Lonchura striata: one gene and its partner. The protein of the gene in region 1 interacts with the protein of each later gene in a pairwise test. Links are inferred from orthologs where the notes say so. Each region holds a gene or a part of one and is shown in the gene's direction. Other genes may lie near its edges.

What was found.
Region 2: the proteins of JADE1 (region 1) and YJU2 interact in a two-hybrid assay, tested with the Homo sapiens proteins (2 studies listed by BioGRID and IntAct). The two-hybrid records come from large-scale screens. The link is inferred for Lonchura striata from reciprocal best matches to the Homo sapiens genes JADE1 and YJU2.

The regions. Positions count from the first base shown.
Region 1 is NC_134606.1:67,399,104-67,408,682, reverse strand, and holds the start of JADE1 (protein Jade-1), read left to right. Parts: upstream 1-5,567; 5' UTR 5,568-5,587; intron 5,588-6,128; exon of another isoform or gene 6,129-6,157; intron 6,158-9,579.
Region 2 is NC_134630.1:6,560,506-6,570,517, reverse strand, and holds the start of YJU2 (splicing factor YJU2), read left to right. Parts: upstream 1-6,078; 5' UTR 6,079-6,146; coding exon 6,147-6,170; intron 6,171-6,847; coding exon 6,848-6,948; intron 6,949-7,711; coding exon 7,712-7,856; intron 7,857-8,526; coding exon 8,527-8,661; intron 8,662-8,852; coding exon 8,853-9,034; intron 9,035-9,451; coding exon 9,452-9,572; intron 9,573-10,012. Other genes in the region: heterogeneous nuclear ribonucleoprotein M-like, read right to left, coding at 2,901-3,070, 5,099-5,229.

The DNA.
Region 1 (9,579 bases):
GAGGACAAACAGAATACATCCTATCTCATGGCTAATTGTCCTAAGTTTGTTTTTTGCCATGGAGGGTGTAGGATTTCTCTGCCCTTGTGGCAGACCTCAGTTTCATGGCCTGCAAAGAGCTTTAAATTCAATGAACTGTGAGTCATTGCATTTGGAAGAAGAAATAGAAGCAGCTCTGTGGTGATTCCATCAAGTACTAAAGGGAACCCAAAAGGACCACATGGGAAGTTACTTGCAGGATTTCTGCTCTTTGTAGACATCTTATCTCAAACTGCTCATAGCAAATGGAACACCCGATCTTTATTTTTTGATTTAATATTTATCCGATTCCTAAAGATCCAGAGTTGCAAATTTTCTTCAAAGTAATTTTGGCCCTAAGTTTTTACTGAAAAAAAAATTGATTTTTTTTTGCACTTCTGTGATAAATTGGTACCACTGCTCCACTTCTAGCAACCAGTTATCAGGTTGCACTCTGCAATCAGAAAATCTGTAATCAGATTCTTTTGAACTCTTCCAGAAGTTTTGTCACAGCACCTTTCTTTCACTATGTGATTTCTGCCTGCATAAACACAATTTAATGTTGAAGTTCATTTAGATTAGCTGTTGTAATGTTGCCTGATGAGCTGCCAGATAGACACGTGTAGATACTTCAGCCAAGATTTGATCTGCTGCTGCTAAATTCTCACTTGCCTGAGGTTTTCATAATCCTTAGGGCATTACCTCGGCTGCTAATTACTTCTCTCATCATGTACAAAATTGTGTTATTTCCCTTAAAGGTGATGCATCACCTTCATCCAGCTTAACTTGCAGACCTGCAAGTCTGTTTCCAGTGTTCCATTGAGCTTCTTGTTCTACTGGTTTCCTGTCAGCTTCTACTTTTCAATTACAACAGTTGGGAAGCACATGATTTCAGTACCTGTACTTTTAGATTTTGGAATGTAGTTAATTTTACCTATTGGGCATACCTGTCCCTGCTTCCTTTTTAGATGAATGCACACTGTCAGCAGTTGCATATTCATGCAATGATTGTGTCTAACTTGCAGAAACATTTTAAGATATCTATGTGCAAAATGTCATGGAGGTATACTTTGTACTGTGTTCTGTGCTGTGAACCAGGCCAAAGGGGAGGATATGGTTTAATCATTAGAAACCTTGGACTGAGAGGCATTACTTCAGGTTTCTATTCTTGGTTTTAATGCTGACTTAACATGTGACTTGTGTGAGTGATATAACCTTTACAGGCCCCTGTCTACCCACAGATAAAATTAGTGTTACAATCTCTACTTCTCAAGTTTTGTCATTAAAAAGAGTACACAGGTCTGTCTGTGCAAGCCCACTAAATAAAGAGTTCACCTCTGAGGATTCATTTTCATCCCTTTCTATCCTAATCCTTCACTGGCACAGCTTCTCCTTCCTGGGGCTCTGGCCCATACACCGAGTTAGAGATCTCTCATGACTTCATCTCAATAAGCCAAAGAAACTGTAAACCAGAAGAATGAGGGTTGTGAGCACAGGAGAAATCACATCTTTGGTGTATGGCTTATGAATAAACTAATCACTCTCACAAGCAATCCTGGCAGCTGTAAACCTCAGCTTCAGAGTCAAAGGGAATAATGACCTGCCTAATCCAGACACACCAAATTTTGGTAGTTGTGGATAATGAGAGGGACAAAAAAAACAGACCACCAATTAGTGGAGGGTTCTGTGCATAATTTTATGAAGCAGTTAGGTGCCACCATGCCATAAAAGATGTATTTGGGTTGGACAAAACTGTGACAACTGTGTTCCTCTATGGCTCATACAGGAACTGCGTTGAGTAAGTTTTATTTCTGCAGGATTTAAAAATATTGCATTTATGCAACTTGTAAGTGGTATAGATTTACATATGCATGAGTCAAAATCTTTTTTTCCCCTTGCTTGTGTGATTAGACCAGCTAGAGACAAAATGGACCTTGAAATGAATTGGCCCAACTATGCATCCATCTTACAGCTCTGCTCTATAAAATACCTGTCACAGGAGATATGAAAACTCTCTGGAAAATCCCACTCTTTAAGTACAATCTAGTGTTGACAGTGCTGATTTGGATCTGTACTGTTCTTCTCCTCAAGTTTCTAATTTTCAAAATAAAAAATAGAAAATAGAAGTTCCTGAAAGCTCGAGCCAAAAGAGCAAAAGAACAGTTTTGAATTTTAAGTGATACTCTTGGACTAAATTTAACAGTGAGGAGAAACTCAGCTTTGTTAGCTACACCTTCATGTATGAGGACTGTATCAATTAGCAGAAAATATTTCAATTGTTAAAGTATTATCAAAATAAAAAAAGGAAGAAGGAAGGAAATTAATTTTACTAGCCACTGCTACAGCAACAAATTTCCACAGAAGGGTGCTGAAAAGCTACATAGTCTTTCCTTGGATTTGTGTATCAGCTAAAATATTAACAATCCAAGAAGGAAATGTTAAGAAACTAATAAAACAATAAAGAATTAAAATAAAGTTTAATATATGAGTGAGTGTATCTGATGAAACAACTTACAGAAGGGATCAGAAGTTCTGTGTGCTAGCACAAAGCCTAACTCTAAGCTGGATACATGTTCTCTGAATGTTCCTGGAATAAATGATAATGCTGGTAGAAAGATAAGTGAGAGAGGCACAGAACCTTATGACATTATTTATTATAAGAAAGTGCCTGTTTTGCTGAGAGGGTAAATACCTATTAGAGACGAGGGGTGATCTTAGAACTCCTACTGACTCTACTTAAAGCAGAATTTTCCTCATCACCTTGATGTTTAGTCAGTGCAGGTAGCAGAAGACTACTCTCTCTTGTTTGACCATAGCTATGCTCGTATCCAACTTCATACCTGTAATGCTGAAGCAGTAACATTCCCTTTTTGTTTTCCAGACACTTCCAAAATTATTCTTCCAGCTCCTAGCCCTTTGATTTTTTAAATATTTCCTTTTAAAACATAGAAGTGTATTATTCCAGAGGAATCTCTGTGGATGCACTGTACTCAGAGACAAAATAGCATCTTTGTTCCAGTTGTGTTACCTTCTTGTAAAGACTGGGCTAGCTGCTTGTGGAGCACAGAGGACTCACATTTGGGGAGTTTTTCTATGGTAATGGAGATAGTTGGTACTTTTTAAAAACACAGCCCATAATTCATGGTACCATGAAAACATTAATGTTATCTTAAATGTGAAAACAATCATGTTATCTTAAATGTATGGCCTCATATGGCTTCCAAGAGAAATGTTTCCTAAAATACAATGTGTAATATAAACTTGGCTACATATGCAAAGGAAAACTAATTACAGGGAAACAAAAATATTGCCTCAAATCCAAGGAGCTTGAGACAGGAAAGTTTCTGTCATTCCTCTTGAGAAATTAGAGCCCATTCACATTTAAGCTCTTCTCAGAAGCTTGTTCTGAACTTCTTGGAAAGAATTCAGGAAAGTGGAACAAATAGCATTTATTGTGATTCTTCAGTCTTTTACAATGGACAATATTATTTAAAATTATTTAGAAGAAACATCATCATATTAACCCAGTAGAAGTGCATGCCTGTGTACAGTAATTGCCAATTGACAGTAGCTTTGCTAACCTTGATTGCTTTTTACGGATTTATGAGAAGCAGTCCCTGAACCCCTGAGGGGCCTGCAGACCACTGAGGGAATAAACTGCCCTGTTCTGTTCTGGGGTTTATACCATGGCACAGCAACAGGTTTAGGAAATACAGAACAACTAAGTCTCCAGTCAGTATTGAAAATTAACAGCCCTGGAAGTTCAGGGGTAAGGTGACAGGGGTGTGTCAGTAAGTTTATTATAATTATCAGTTACCGTGACGGGGTGTGTTGCATGGATCGTCATGGATGTTCCTAATTAAGCTGCTGATGTACAGAAAGCTATGCCAACAGGTATCTTTACAGATCTGGATGCCAAGGCAAGTGTAGGAAGAAAGTAGGGAATGCATGCCTTTCTGTATTTTCATGTAGTAGAAAACAAGGGAATCAAAGTCTTAGATTCAAAAATCTGAAGGTGCTTCAGGGTGTTCTGTGAATAAAATCACAACTGTCTGATTTTCACAGTGAAAGAATATCTCCAGGGGGGAGGATGTTTTTGTAGTAAAGCACAACTTTTTAGGATGTGCAGATTCAATGTAAGTACTGTTTCATTATTGGGTGGGTGGGTGAGACGGCAGAAGAAATGACTCGGTTTGCACGGATGAATAACGACCCAATTCCTCTGCTGAACTAAGGTGTGATTCTTTGGCAGACTGATGTTTCTGTGGAGGCTGCATTAATTTGTATTTGCATACTATGGGGATTACTTTACACAGATCGCCTTAATTCTGTGTCTGAGCTTATGCTGAATCTTCTCTGTGGTGTTTATTACCTCAGAATATATCTGCTCAGGAATTCTGCTCAAAAGGGGGAGTTCTTCACTCAGGGAGCACAGGTGTATGGCGTGAGGTAAAGCGATTTATGTGGAAAAATAAGGAAATCTGCATTCAAACACGCTTTTTAGGTAATGGGAAGTTTAGTATGTCATTTGGTGCCAATTTGAGATAATTTCCTCTCCTGCTAGAGAGATGTGAACTGAACCGCAGATTGTGTTGGCTCTTTCTAGTCTTTGAGAAGTATCAAAGTTAACGAGCCATAGGGATAACGCTGGGGGCTGAGAATAGGGAGCGTGCAGTTTTATTCTTGCCCCGGCAATTATGCGCTACGCATGTGGCCACAGCGTTTAACTCTTGGTACCCTCAGTTTCTCTGCTTGACAAATAGTGACTCACGCGTTCTGCACGGGGAGCCAGTGCATCGCTAGAATTCCTGCTTGCGAAATCGGTTTAAATCTTTTGGAGAGAAGAGTTAATGGTTGCAGGGTAAGGCCAGCAGTGCCGCGGGCGGGATGCGGGTGCAGACACGTATCATTTCCCAGCTGCCCAGCCGCGCGGCGTTGCCTCCCATCTGCGTTTCCCAGCCCGCTGGAACACGAGCGGGAGGCGGCGGGAGCCGGGCGGCCGCGCTCCCCCGGGGCTCCGGCGGCGAGGGGCGGCGGGAGCCCCGCGCGGTGCGGCCGGGCCCGCCAAGAGTTAACGGCGGCTCCCCCGGGGCCGCGCCGCCGCCTCCCCACCCCGGCGCTGCATTATTATTATTATTTCTCCCCCCTTCCCTCGCCTTCCAGTTTTGGCAGGGGATTAAAGCAGCTCCCCCCTGTGGCAGCAGTGACCCAGAAACGAGTTTGATTCACGGAGTCCTTCCTCCATAACAAGTACAAACGTCAGTCAGAGGGAATCTGTGTGTGTGTGTGAGAGTGTGTGTGTGTGTGGCGCAGCGAGCCGCGCTCCGTGCCCGCTGCCCGGCGCCGCGCCGAACTCATGCGGCGGCCCCGAGCCCTCCGCGCAGGGGGAGCCCGGCCGCGCCGCCCGCCCTCGTCGCCGCCGCGCCGCCGCCAGCAGGTAACCGTGCCCGCCGCAGCGCCAGCCGCGGAGCCGCCAGCACAGCCATATTTGATGGGGTTTTTTTGTCGCTCCGGAGGCGGCGGGAGAGCAGTTTCGTGCCGAAGGTCGCTGCCTAGTGGAAATAAGATAGTACGTCATTAACATGGCGCCAAGAGCCGCGCCGCTCGGTACGGGGCGAGGGGAGGCGGCCGAGTTGCGGCTCCGCTATCCCACAAGCAACTTGTGCGGGGCTGTGGCGGGCGGAGGCGGGAGGGGAGGCAGCGCTGCCGCCCGGCGCGACCTGCCGCTGCCGGCTCCCTTTTTGTTCCGCTGCGGGCGAGCGGGCAGCGCGCAGCTGCCCAGGTGCAGCGGCCAAGTGAGCCGCCGGTGTGCCGTGCCGTGCCGTGCCGGTCTGCGCCGTGCCGTGCCGTGCCGTGCCGTGCCGTGCCGTGCCCCCGGCCCTGCGCCCCAGGCGTCGCTGCAGGCTGCGCCGCGGGGGCAGCGCCTGGTATCGCCCGCCGCGGAAAGTAGGAAGCGTTGGAGCAACTTGGTAGCCAGATGGCAATGGCAGAGCGCAAGTCTTGCTCGGATACTGATGTGTAGGAAGGGGGTGGGGGAGAGTCATGGCCACTGTGTGTCACCGTGTTACCCAGATGCCCACGAGACCCGTCGCCTCTCGCCGCGGGCGGGGAGCGGTGTGCGTGGGAGAGGAGGTGTTCGGTATGCAGGAGCAGCTTTGTTTCCCTCCCTTTACCACCCCGCTTGCACTTCGATTTGGCTTGGGGCGGGGGGGGGGGGGGGGGCGTAAATGCTTGGAATGCATAAAAACTGCTCATCGGTGAAATTAAACAGAAGTTGCCTTTCGGAGCGGGAGAGCCGTAGCCGGTCTGCCTCCCGCTTGATGGGCGCCGGTGGGCGCTCTACTGGAGGCGCGGAGCGCCGAGCTGTCAGAGCTGGCTCTGTCCCCCCAGACGGGTGCGCGGTGTCTCCTGCTGGAGAACAACTTGCCCGAGCCCCGAAGTGCACGTGTTTGAGAGTGGGAAAAGGCGGGGAAATGCGTGCGGCCCCACCGGGGCGCGGGGCGGCATCGGGGCAGCGGCCGGCAGGTGCACGGCGACCCCGCCGCGCCGGCCCCCGCCCCGGCCGTGGGAGGTGGAGCGGCAACGGGCCGGGGGGCGCGCAGCGAACTTGGGCAGGACGTGGGGGGTCCGGCCCCCTCCCGCTGCTGCTGCCCGGCGCAGGCCGAGGGGCGAATCCGTGTGCTCGGGCCGGAGTTTGTGGGCGAGGGAGCGGAAAGGCGGCCGGCGGTGTTGGGGCGCGAACGGAACATCGCGGGGGGCGGCGGCGAACGCCCCAACTTGCTCGGGCGGCGGTCTGGGCAGCTCCGCGATTTGGCTCTTGCCCCCGTGCCTGGCGAGCGGGACGGAGCGGGGCTGCGGCACTGCTGTGTAACGGGCCGCTCTCCCTGGGGAGGTGAGTGCGGCTCCAGCCATCATTCCACTTGTTCCTCTTAGACAAAGCCACCCTGCCCAGCCCTGGGCACGCGTAGTCGCCAGCTCCCAGGAGAATTTTGGTGGTGTTTGTGTTTTTTTGTTTTTTTTTTTTTTGGGAGGGGGGCAGCCTGGAGGATGTTTGGTTGTTTTGGTTTTATTTGTAGAAATTTTTTTAATTTGCTTTTCCCTTCCCGTTCGCGCCCGCCCGTTCGTTCCCGATAGGATGAATTTGGGAAGGGTGGAGGCAAAGGGTGTTTGTTTGTTTGCACCGCCTGCTGGTTGGTTTCCTGTGACAAGAGGTGATAACACAGTTTCCAGAACTGTCTGGGAGTGGGAGGAGAGACGGACAGAGAAAATGAGCTCGTCTCCGAGCTGCCGCTCGATCCGCCGTCCCGTCCACCCCCTCGGTGGCAGCGTGGCCACGGGGGCGGGCGGGGAAGGTGCCGTGGCCGTTTTCGGCAGTGACAGCGCTTTGAGCGAGAGGCGGCGGAGCCGGGGGCACCAAGTTTGATTTGCAGCCGTGGCCGAGCGGATTGGTGCGACCGGCGGCGGGGAGGAGCGGGAGCCGGGAGGGAGGAGAAGGAGGGGGCCAGCCGGGCCGCTTCTCCTGGAAGGCGGCCGTGCAGCTGGCCGGGGAGGTGCCACCCCCGCGGGGGAGGTGTAGCCCGGCCAGGAGGCTGCTCCGTGACCGCAGCCGGCCGTGCCCTGGCGGCTCCGGGGTCGGCGCCGCTGCCGCGAACCCTGGGCGGGCGCGGTGCCGGGCCGGGGCCGAGATGGGATCGCTGCGGGAGGAGGAGGAGGAGAGCCGCCCTGAGCGGTGCCCGGCCGGGCTGGAGCCGGCTGTCGGCGTGAGTGCCGCGTTGGAAGCGACTCCCGAAGGCTCGGCTCCTCTCCTCCTGCGGGGAGTGGCCCCATCCCGCAGCCGTGGGCTCAGCGCACCTGCGAGCAGCGCCTGCCGCCGGCCAACTTCTCCTGCCGGCTCTCTCCGGCTGGTCCTCAGCTGCTCGCCTTATTCTGAGAAAGTTGATTAGGTTCACCGGCAGGTGAGAGTCGGGGCATCCTGAGATCTGTCACCTCCCTGCCCCTTCCCAGTAAAACAGGCCGTGGAAGTATTAGAAATTCCAGTAGGATTCAGCAGCACATCTTAGTTGATGTTTTTATGCCAGCCCCATTTTTTAGAGAAAGGTTTTAGCTGTTATTTTGAATAATTTCCTTTTTAAGCAGGTGCTGTCTTTTAACTAAGTCAGAAGCTGCCCACACTTGTAAACCTAAAACCTTCATTAAAGTTATGCCAAAATATGCTTGTTATGATTCTATTTCTAGATGTTTCTCACACTCAGTGGGATATTGTTGAAACAGCAAGAATTGTATGTTTTAGTGGCAGGATTTTCCCTCTGGCTTCAGATAGCACTTGCTCCCAGCTTTTGAGCTATGTTTAATACATATGTTTAAAATAAAATAATAATAATAAACTCCCCTTTCCTCTCACAGCTGCAGATTTCCCTTCCAGCTTCTCTGGTTTCATTCCCAATTCACAGAACCTAGTAAAAAAACCCTCAAACTTCCAGTGTTTCCTCAAATGATTTCTCCATGTGTTTAGTACTGCTGCTTCATGCTCCCATTTTCAACTGGAGATGGCCAAACTGGTACCATTTCCTAGGTGGAAGAGAGGAACTGCAGTGGGTGCAGGTTGAGTTGCAATAATTCTTGGAACGCAGTTCATGCATTGCTCGAGATTTTGGATGGTCCGTTTCACTCACTCCCACAGTTTGGGAATAATTTGCTGCCACTGTTCAGGTAGTAAGTTAATATTATGGGCTGGCTTGCACAGGTGCATAAATAAGCACGTGGATTCCTGAGAAGTGTTGGGTTGATATGGCCAAATTGTGCTTTTCTCTTATATTGATAAATTTTGGATAGGTGTGCTGAATTTGGTAGAAATATTCCCTGTGGAGAACACTGTTGGCCTTGTTTCATGACACTTGGAGGATTTTTTTCCTCCAGATTTAAGGTCTGTGACTCTTTGCACTGTGGATGGTGCTCCGTAATAGAATTTTAAGTAAATTTTAGTAATAGCTTATTTCTGATGTGCTTCCTTTTTTGTTTGTTTGTTTGTTTTAGGTCTAGGGTAGAAGCAAAAGAGCTTCTTGTGATGTCAGGTGTCAGTGAAGAAGGGGTGGTGTTATAAATAAGCTATTTAAAAAGAACCCAATAATAGAACCCAAATGTCTCCATCTTCTATTTTATTATACTGTGTCACACTTCGCTTCCATTTGTACAGTAGGTGTTCTGAAGCAATTTCTTGTGTACTAGAGATAATTAGGTCTTCGTTTCATTGCAGTTAGTGGGTTACTTTCAGGAAAAGCCAGTTTTTCAGTTTGTCTTCAGGGTGTACATCTGTCATAACTCTGCTTTCTTCCCATTCTGTCTCTGCAGCTGTTCAGTGCAGTTTGTTACAGTGACACCCGTTAACATGGTTACAGTTAATTGTCTGTCAGAGTTTGAATTATACACTCTTTTACCCAGGGGTTTATGCAGCCCTTGAAAATACTTCAGTAAGAATTGTGCTGTGGAAAACCTTTGACCTGAGGATGTAGATTTTCCCATGTATATTTTTTTTTACAATCTGGTTCTGTTTAGCTATATGCG
Region 2 (10,012 bases), on another chromosome or scaffold:
TGAAAATGCAGCTTTTCCCAAACCAAGAGACTGGAGCAGAATTTACTGCAATAACCAGAAATCCAAACTGAAGGAAGCTTCAGTGTTATTTATAACAGTCATTATTTTTAATCCTCTTTAAAACTTTGTATCACTTCCCAAAGTTTATCAGTACAGAAAATGTCAATGTTCAAGCTGGGCTGCTCCAGCAGAATTCCAATACTCTGCAGGGTCTGAACAGGAAGCTCAGATCAGTATTCACAGGGTGACCTGAGGCCCTGAAGACACATCTGGGAACTCCCCAGAACAAGCTCAGACAGAAATAACAACTTTAGGTTGGGCAATTTGATTTTAACAGTTTGTGACAAACCAAAGAGCTCTGAGAGGTGTGAAAGATGCAGAGAGGGAAGGGGGAGCAAGCACAGAACTGGGACAAGGGAAATGCTCTGTAGCAGTTATTCCTTGGCCTCCAGGGCCAAAAGTAAATACTAAATATGGAAGGAAAACCCCAAAGTGGCTGGATGTCTCCTCATCTTCTGAAGAACAAGTGATCCAAGAAGATTAAAAAGCTTCACACTCGCAGTGTGAGGCAAAGCAGAGCTGGCCACAGTTCTTCCCTCATTTACAGGTAAAAGCTTGGGACAGGCAACCCCTGAAAAGTTAAGAGGGGAGAGAAGAGGAGCAAGTTTTACACATGCAAAGCTTTGGCTGAAAAGGCAGAAGGAAAACCTTCCCAAAGCAGAGACAGCAGTCAGCAGTTCTGTCACAGATGGGGAAAGGAAACTTCCCTTTTGCAAGAGAACACCCAAAGTGGTGATTTAGGCTCTTAAAGAGCTCAGGCAGCAGAGGGAGTGAAAAGCTCCCTGCAGCCAGGGAAGGGCTGAGATTCCTTGGAAAGATGGTGAATGCCCAAGGGAAACAGAGCAACTCATCAGAGACTTCAGCAAACGGAAGGGGGAACAGGCCAAGGGCAGGACAGCACATTCCTTCCCCATCCCTCCCTCCCTGACTCCCCAGAACTCCACACTGTGACCAAATCCTGGGGACTCTGCAGTGAGCTAACACCTTGTGTCTGCCAGCAAAACGAGGGAGTTCCAAACAAGAACATCTCTTCATTCCATTACCAACATTCCCACTGCATACCTGTAATTGAGTTTCTCCAACCAATCCACTGGGATGCCCGAGCCACGGCGTGAGGAGAGAGAGAGAGGTGGCACCTGGAGCAGCCTGGCCGCTCCCAGGCTGCAGAACAGCAGCAGCTGCTGCACACACGGCACCTCCCCGAGCTCCTGCTGCTGCTACAGCCCCTTCTGCACGGGGCCCAGCCCTGCAGAGCCCTCACACACCCAGGGTTTCCCCTTGGGCAAGAATTCCACCTGCTCCCAGAGCCTGGGACGTTTGGCCTGGCGTTCTTACGCTTCCGAAGCAAGCATTCCAACGGGTCGGAGTTTTCCTGGGGCTTGGAACTGCTCTGCCTCGAGGCAAGGACTGAGCAAGGCCGAGCACAGCACGAGAGCAGCAGTTTGGGAGAAGTCCAGAACAACTCCACGGCAAGTCCAAACTGTTGGGTTCATCAGCAGTGCCAAACCCCAGGAATGATCCCAGTTTGAGCAGGACAAGCCCTGCAGCCAGAAGGAAAAGGCTCCAACGTTCCCCTAGGAGCATCTGCTGGAATGAGCAGCTGAACAGCCCGGCAGGAAACAATCTCAGCCTGGCCTCTGCCATCCACGGGAACTGGAGAGAAACCACCAGACACTGGGAACGGGATTCAACACAGCACAGAGCTGGACATCTCCTCACCCGGAACACCAACGGATCTGGGGCAGCCACGGGGCAGTGAGGGCTCCGTCCATCATCAGGGCCTGCTCAAGCAGCCCTTGAGGCTGACACTGTTGCCATGGCACAAAACCACTGCTGGCTCTCAAACAGCCCCTAATTTGGGAAGCTCCCAGTCTGTTCCACAGATTCATTCCCTTTTGCCTCCAAAGACAAACAATTGAAACCCTCTGGAACTTTGTTTTCCCCTTCTTTAGGCCACACCTCAAACGCCTGAACTGCCAGTCCTTGCCCAGCTCCAGCACAATGACCACTGCCCACTATCCTGGCTGATGCTCTGGATCCAGAAGTGCCCCACAGGAAATGTTGTGCTGTTACTCTGAACTTGGTTTAGACATTTTAAGGCTGGAGAAGCCAAGGATTTTCTTGCCACTCCACTGCACTTCCAAGGTGACTTGAAAACTGGAAAGATGGGCACCAGCCTGAAGAAATGACACTAATTTAGCCTTGTCACTACCTGAGCACTCAGCTCAATCTCTTCATCTTCCTCAAGAGACGAAGATGTTCAGGTCAGCAAAGGCAGCTCCCATCCACATAGGAATTAAAGGGAATTGTGGAAGTGGGAACACCACAAATCTGATTTCCAAAGCCCTGATTCTGCTGCAGCACATGCCAAAGCACCAACCTGATTTTGCAGGTCACCCTTAAATACACTGAACTGCAACCAATGGCAGAATGGCTCTTGAAGCCAGCCCAAACCCCTCCAAATTTGGGGACACAGCTGGATATCCACACGCCAGAGCAGGACATAACCACCTGAATGCCCAAAAAAAACATTCAAATGCTTCAAAAGTTCTGCTGCACTTCAAGGCTAAAATCTGCTGAAAGCCTGGGCTTGGATCCCTAAGGAAAACACTGCTAATCCTGGGATGAGGCTCTAGCAGCTGTGTGCCACAGGCCTCCACAGGAACCATCCCCTGGAAGGCTGCCAGGGACAGAGGTTGTGCAACACCCAGAAGGCTTCGGGAAGAGCTTTTCCAAACTCGTGTGGCCGAGCGCACCCAGAGGTGCAAGTGCTGAGCTCCAGCCAGAGCCAGGCACGGGCTGGAGCACAGGACAGCCTCTCCACCTGAGCTGCACTTTACCTTTCTCTTTGACCAGGTCCTTCAGCGACTGCCACTTGACGTCGAAGGGGATGTTGGTGATGAAGGCTCGGTACCTCTTGGCGGGGTTGGTGTAGGGCTCGAAGCGGTTCCCTCCCCTCTTCATCCCCTTCTCCTTCTTCTTCTCATTCGGGGTCGGGCGCTCGCCTTCGCTGCAAGGAGAGAAGCCCTGTGAGCTGCTGGGGATGGAGCAGTGCCACCACCTCCAGCTGGAACAAAAGCAGAGCTGAATCTCTCAACTCCAGAGCAGTTTGGATGGGAAGGGAAAAGCCCAGACCATCCTGAAAGGAAAAAAACAAATCATGGGAACAAAAAAGTTTCGGGCTCAGTCTTACATAATTCCCTTCACTAATCCAATTAATCTCCTTGCTCAATCAGTGCTGCTGGAGAAGATGCACCGACACATCTTGAGGAGGAATTCAGAACACATCAGATAAATCTGAAATTTCTACAATCCTGAGCTTCTCCCAACCTAGCACCTGTGCAGCCCTGCAAACGCCAGGTCAGAAATCCCAGCTCCATCCCTTCAGGACCATTTCAATCCCTGAACAGACACAACAGCCTGCAGGGAAAAAGGAAATTAAGAATGCAGAAACCTCTGAAGGTTTATATTTGAGGCTGTTCCCTGCTTCTATCACCCAGCAGCCAAAGCAATGGGAATTTTCCAGTCTTTCTCTCACTGAATTTTATTTTAAAGTTTCTTTATTAATGAAATAATTAAAACTCCAAAATTAGACTTGAAATAGGACAATCCTTTTCCCACTTTCATTTCTGTTTGGTTGGTGAAGTAACATAAAACGTAGCTGTGTTAAAAGCTGTACTCTGATTTTAGTTGTTATCTCTTAAACTGGATTTCCTCAAGGCCACTGAGAACTTTGGTGTTATCCCTGTGGAAGTGAGAGCTCTGCCACGTGGAGCTGGATATTCCAAACACAACTGCACCTGCAGACACAAACAAATTCCCTGGAAGCACCCCAAGTGCAACAAGGTCAGGAAAAATAAAACCACAGCAGAAGGATAACTTTATTTAAATATACTTCCACGAATGAACAGGCTCCTCATGGAGACAAACTGCTGCTTCCATGTTCCCAGGAGTGGTGGGAACAGAATCCAGGGTGGGAACACCCTTCCCTGTCCCTGGGACCAGGGATGTCTCTGCCCCTGCCTGGCTCCAGCTGCACAGTCAATGAAATTGTGTCTGTCCGGATTTTACTGCTCAAAGCACAGTCTGACTGTTCTCCAATGGAAAAAAAAAAAAATAATGGAACTTTTTCCCCTAAAGCGACACTCGGAAAACTGTTCCTGGGCTCGGGAAACACAAATCCAAGCTCGGGTCTGCAACAGGAATCACAGCACACCAGGTTTAACCTGATTCTTATCACCCCGCCATGAAATGAGGCCAAAACCGCCCTGAGGGATAGAAGTTCTTTCTATTCTGCGGATTTGGTACCAAAACCGGCTTTGCCAACTGTGGAATTTTCATCGAGCACACACATGAGGAAGTGAGAAGCAGCTGAGGCTTTTTGCGCCCTTCATCCCCACGTTTACAGAGCCGGAACTGCAGCGCTGCCGATTCTGGTTTAAATTTCTCTAAGGTTTTCCCGACAGCAGCCATCGGGATTGTGCAGCCCCTCCCCTTAAACTCTCACCCTCGAGGTGTTTGCGCTCCTAAATCCCCTCACGCTCAAATTACCTCCAAAAAGGAGCACGCCGGGCTCCAAAGCGCGCAGGAGGATGAGGGAGGTGCTGAGAGCAACGGAGCTGTTCAAAGTTTACTGACAGCACAAAAGTAATGAACTTACACATCCCCCCACTGGCACAGCCTGATCCCCCCTGGGGAAACCAAAACTCCAGCAAAGCTGAGCAGCGGGGATGCTGAGGGGATTGCTGAGGGGACGGATGGTGGCGATCCCCGGGCTCCCCGCCCGCCGGGCCCCGGCCCGCAGCGCCGCGGGTGCCCCGGAGGCGCCTTCGGAACGGTCCCGCCCGGGATCCCGAGGCGTGCCCGGAGGGAGCAGCGGCCGCAGCGCCAGGAGAGGCCCCGCAGCGGTGTCCACCTCGCGGGACCCCTCGCCGGCCCCGGTCCGCCCCGCTGCCCTCAGGCCGGGCCCCGCAGCGGGGAGGCCGCACGCGGCCCTTCGGCCCCACCGGCAGCGCAGCTCCTCACGACCCCCCCCTACCTCTTGGGGGGCGGCCCCCCCGCGCCGGCCGCCCCGTTGGGCGCTGGCGGAGCCGCCGCTGCCGCCGCGGCCGCCGCCGGGGGCGGCTCCATTTTGCCGGGGGCGCTCTGCGAGGCCGCGGCCGCCGCCATTTCCCAGCGCGTCCTTTGTGTGGGGAGCGCGGGGCACGACGGGACGGCGCCGCGGCCCGGGCCGCCAGGGGGCGCCGCGCCGCGCATGCGCGCCACGGGAGAAGGAGCGGCGGGTGGGGTGGCGGGAAGCCGCGCGGGAGCCGCCGCGCATGCGCGGTGAGGCGCCACCGCCGGTAATGGCGGGTCCGCGCGGGCGCGGTGTGGCGGCGCCGTGCGGGAAGGGCAGGTAGCAGCGGGGAGTGGGGGTCTGAGAATGCGCAGGGCTGCGGTCACGAGGTGCGGGCGGGGCTGGCGGCAGCGGCACCTGGGAATGCCGGCGCTGGCGGCTCAGGCTGTGGGAGGTGCGTACGGAATGGCGGCAATAGCAACGGCGCATGCGTAGTGCGGCGGTGCCGTACAGCATGGCTGCCACGGGCTGCGCGTGCTCAGTGGAGTGAGCGGAATAAAACCAGCTGCAAACTCAAAATGACTCCGAGTCCTCAGTTTTTAGAAAGAAAGTGACACTTTAAGCACAAACAGACTGTTTGGTGATTTTTATCTACATTATGAATATGTGTCATTGGGACATAGGGGAGGCCGGGGCCCCATCCCATGGTGCTGTGAGGAAGCCGAGTTTTCCCAGCCCCGGGTCGCAGCTCCGGCGTTCCCCAGCCGGAGCCGGAGCACAGCCAGGAGCCAAGAAGATGCGGAACCCCCTGTGAGGCCGCGGCTCTCCGGCGGACTCTTGGCTGGGTTGTACAACCGCCGTGGGCTCTTCTGTTGACAGACAGCTCGATTAGCCAATAACACGCGAGGAACGGGGAGGCAGCGGCTCGCTGCGCCAATGAGCGGCGGAGGGGGCGGGGCCACGCCCGGAAGCGGCGCGGGGGCAGCGGCGGCGGCACCGGCGGCACCGGCGGTCGGGAGAAGCCGCAGCGATGTCGGAACGGAAAGTGCTCAACGTGAGTCGGAGAGGCATCCCCGCCGAGGGGGCCGGGCTGCGCCAGGGGAGGGCTCCCCGAGGCCGCTGCGGCGGTCCCCGTTGGCTCAGGAGTCGCTCCCGGGATCAGTCTCGGCTGTGCCCGGTGCCCGCCTCGCCACCAGCGCAGAGCACCGAGTGCCCGTCCCGGCCGTCCTTGGGCACCTCCAGGGATGGAGGCTCCAGGGCAGATCGTTCCAGGCTTTAACAGGCCTTTCCGTGAGGGAATTCTCCCAGCCTCCCATTTAAACCTCCCCCGGGGCCGCTTCCTCTCATCCTGTCGCTGTTCCCGAGCCCTACCTGGCTGCAGCCTCCTGCCGGAGCTGTGCGGAGTGAGAAGATTCCCGGTGCTCCAGAATTCCCAAATCTGCTCTCGGTCCATGGAAACATTATTAAATCTTCTCCTTCTCCATAGAAATATTGCCAGAATTCCCAAACTTGCTCACTCTCCATAGAAACATTCCCAAAACTTTTCTCTCTCCATAGAAATAGTCCCAGAATTCCCAAATCTTCTCTCCATAGAAACATTCCCAAGTCTGCTCTCTCGCTGTAGAAATATTGCCAGAATTCCCAAATCTTCTCTCCCCATAGAAATATTCCCAAATCTTCTCTCTCCCCATAGAACTATTCCCATAATTCCCAAATCTTCTCTCCCCACAGAAATATTACCCCCCGGACTTCGATCCGGCCAAGATCCCGAAGCTGAAGCTCCCGAAGGACCGGCAGTACGTGGTGAGGCTCATGGCCCCCTTCAACATGAGGTGAGAGCAGCTCTGGAGCCACGGGGGCACTCCTGGAGCTGTGGGGTCACTCCTGGAATAATGGGGTCACGCATGGAACCGTGGGATCACTCATGGAATAATGGGATCACTCATGGAACAGTGGGGTCACTCCTGGAACAGTGGGGTCACTTCTAGGATGGGCTGGGGGTCACCAAGCCCCCCAGTGCCATGGGCAGGGACGCTCCACTGGGCTGGAACACCTGGAGGCAGCTGAAGGAAGGAGGAATCTCCTTAGGGGGGGCCAGATGTTGGCTGCAGATGTTGCCTCTGGTGCCTCCAGGGCAAGGGAGGGGCTGAGGGAGGGCAGGAGGTGCTGGGTAGGGGTGGTTTCCTTCCAGGACCCCACAGGAAGGCTGGAGAGAGACCAGGGACAAGAGACAGGACACAGGGAATGGCGTCCCACAAGGATGGCTGGGATTTTGGGATGGAATTCCTGCCTTGGAGGCTGGGATAGAACTCCCAGAGCAGCCGTGGCTGCCCCTGCATCCCTGGCAGTGCCAAGGCTGGGCTGGAGGAGCCTGGCACACTGTGAGGTGTCCCTGCCATGGCAGGGCTGGCACTGGGTGGGATTTCAGCTCCCTACCAAACCAAACCAACCCACGATTCCCCGATTTTGAGCTTGGTCACCCCCTAAATTTCCAGCAGCAAAACCCACCTGATAGAAGAAGCCAGCTGGGCTGCTGCTGGTGCTCATTCCCTGTTTTTCTGACATGCCCTGGGCCTTTGCCCTGCCCTTGGCCAGGTGCAAGACGTGTGGGGAGTACATCTACAAGGGCAAGAAGTTCAACGCCCGCAAGGAGACGGTGCAGAACGAGTCCTACCTGGGGCTGCCCATCTTCCGCTTCTACATCAAGTGCACGCGCTGCCTGGCAGAGATCACCTTCAAGGTCAGCCTGGCCCCACAGTTCCAGCCTCTCCCTGCCTTGCAGGAGCTTGGGGTGGAGCCCTGGGAACAGCTGGAGCTGTGCCAGGCTGCTGGGGTGGAGATCCGGAGGTTTGGTTCCCCCAGGGTGGAGATCAGGAGGTTTTGTCCCCCCAGGGTGAAGATCAGGAGAAGGTTTTTTTTTTCCCCCCAGGGTGGTGAGGTGGAGATCAGGAGAAGTATTTTCCCCCCAGGGTGGAGATAAAGAGAAGGGTTTTTTTGCCTCAGGGTGGTGAGGTGGAGATCAGGAGAAGTTTTTTTTTGCCTCAGGGTGGAGATCAGGAGGTTTTTTTTTTCCCCCCAGGGTGGTGAGGTGGAGATCAGGACAAGGTATACCCAATTTCCTCCATCTTGTCCCCTTTGGACCCCTTATCTAGAATCCTAAAATTTTACTTTTGCACCCATGCCACACTTAATTATTACTGATATCAAACCCTCAGAGCTGGTAATTCATCCTGTAAGATTGAAAACTCTTTTCCATGGGCAGAGATCACAGCCAGTGTCTCTGGGGGCTCTGTCCAGGGGGGTTCCTGACCCCTGCCAGGCTCCCAGGGCAGCCAGGGGGAAGCTCTGGACTCCCACAGGCTGGAGCAGGATCCCCACCCACTGTGGTTTTCCTGCTGTTCCCCTCTCAGACAGACCCTGAGAACACGGATTACACCATGGAGCACGGCGCCACCAGGAATTTCCAGGCAGAGAAGCTCCTGGAGGAGGAGGAGAAGAGGATGCAGAAGGAGAGGGAAGAGGAGGAACTCAACAATCCCATGAAGGTACAAGCGCTGCAGGAAAACCTCTCCCACTCTGCCTGACTCTCCCCAGCCGCAGCAGTGACTTTGTAGCCATTCAGATTTTCCTGTCCTACCCAAAAATGAGGATGAGGAGGGTCCTCTTGTGCTTCATCCAGCATGGGGAGGTGTTGGAAGCTCCTGTCAGCTCAAATATCCCAACTTATCCCACCCAGGTCCTGGAGAACCGAACCAAGGACTCCAAGCTGGAGATGGAGGTCCTGGAGAACCTGCAGGAGCTGAAGGAGCTCAACCAGCGCCAGGCCAACGTGGATTTTGAAGCCATGCTGAAGCAGTACAAGGAGCTGGAGGAGGAGCAGAGGCGCAAGGAGCAGGAGGAGGACGAGCAGGAGATGAAGTGAGGGGGCTGGAGGAGCTCGAGTGGGATGAGCCAGGCTGGGCCCGGGCTGTGCTGAGAGAGGGAGGCTGAGTTACCAGGATTTGGGAGGTGGGAGGAGATCCCAGCCTGTCCTGGCAAAGTGTCCAGGGAGAAGGAGTGGAAGGTCCCTCCAAGCCAACCAAGCTGGGATTCTGTGGGATCTGGGCTGCTGTGGGAGGGTCCATTCCCCTGGGAAGGGCCCTCACATGGACCCAGTTTCTGCTCTGGGGTGAAGCTCCAAACCCCAGTGCTCCCACCCCTCAGGATGGAACCTGATCCCAGAGAACCCCCTGGAAAGGGGGATCCCGAGGCTCTGCTGCTGGCCCCAGCTCCCCTGGAGCGAGCAGGGCCTGGCAGTGGGATGGATCCAGCTCCAACCCTCCTGTGTCCCAGCAGGGCCATGCTGGAACAGGCCCAGAACCGCCGGCTCCTGGTGGATTCCGACTCTGACGAGGAAGCGGCGAAACCCCGCCCCAACCCCACGGCCCAGACGAAACCCACGGACATCCTGCAGGAGGTGAGAGAGGCACAGCCTGCCCAGCCCTTCCCCAGCTCCAGAGCTCTGTCCTGGAGCTGTGTGTGCCCGTTGTGTCCCTGCTCCGGGTGACAGTGGGCTCGTGTCACGCCTGAGCAGCTCCCAAAGGCCGTGTCCCTGTGCTGAGAGCAGCCAGGGGTCACTTGGGGATTTCAGGCTGTGACAAAGGCAGGGATGGAGCTGATCCCATCCTCCTTTCCTCGTCAAGAACGAGCTCTGCTGGGCCCTGCTGCTGCTGCTTCAGGCTGGGCCGGCCTCTCCCTGGGCTGTGCTTTGGATTCAGGCAGAACAAAAGAGCTCCCAGAGCCCGGCCTGGAGGGAGGGATTATCCCAACAAACAGCCCTGCCCTCTGCCCCTGTCAATCCCTGCCCCAGGGCCCCGTGTCTGCTGGGCTGGATCAAAGCTGGGTTAATCCCAGCTG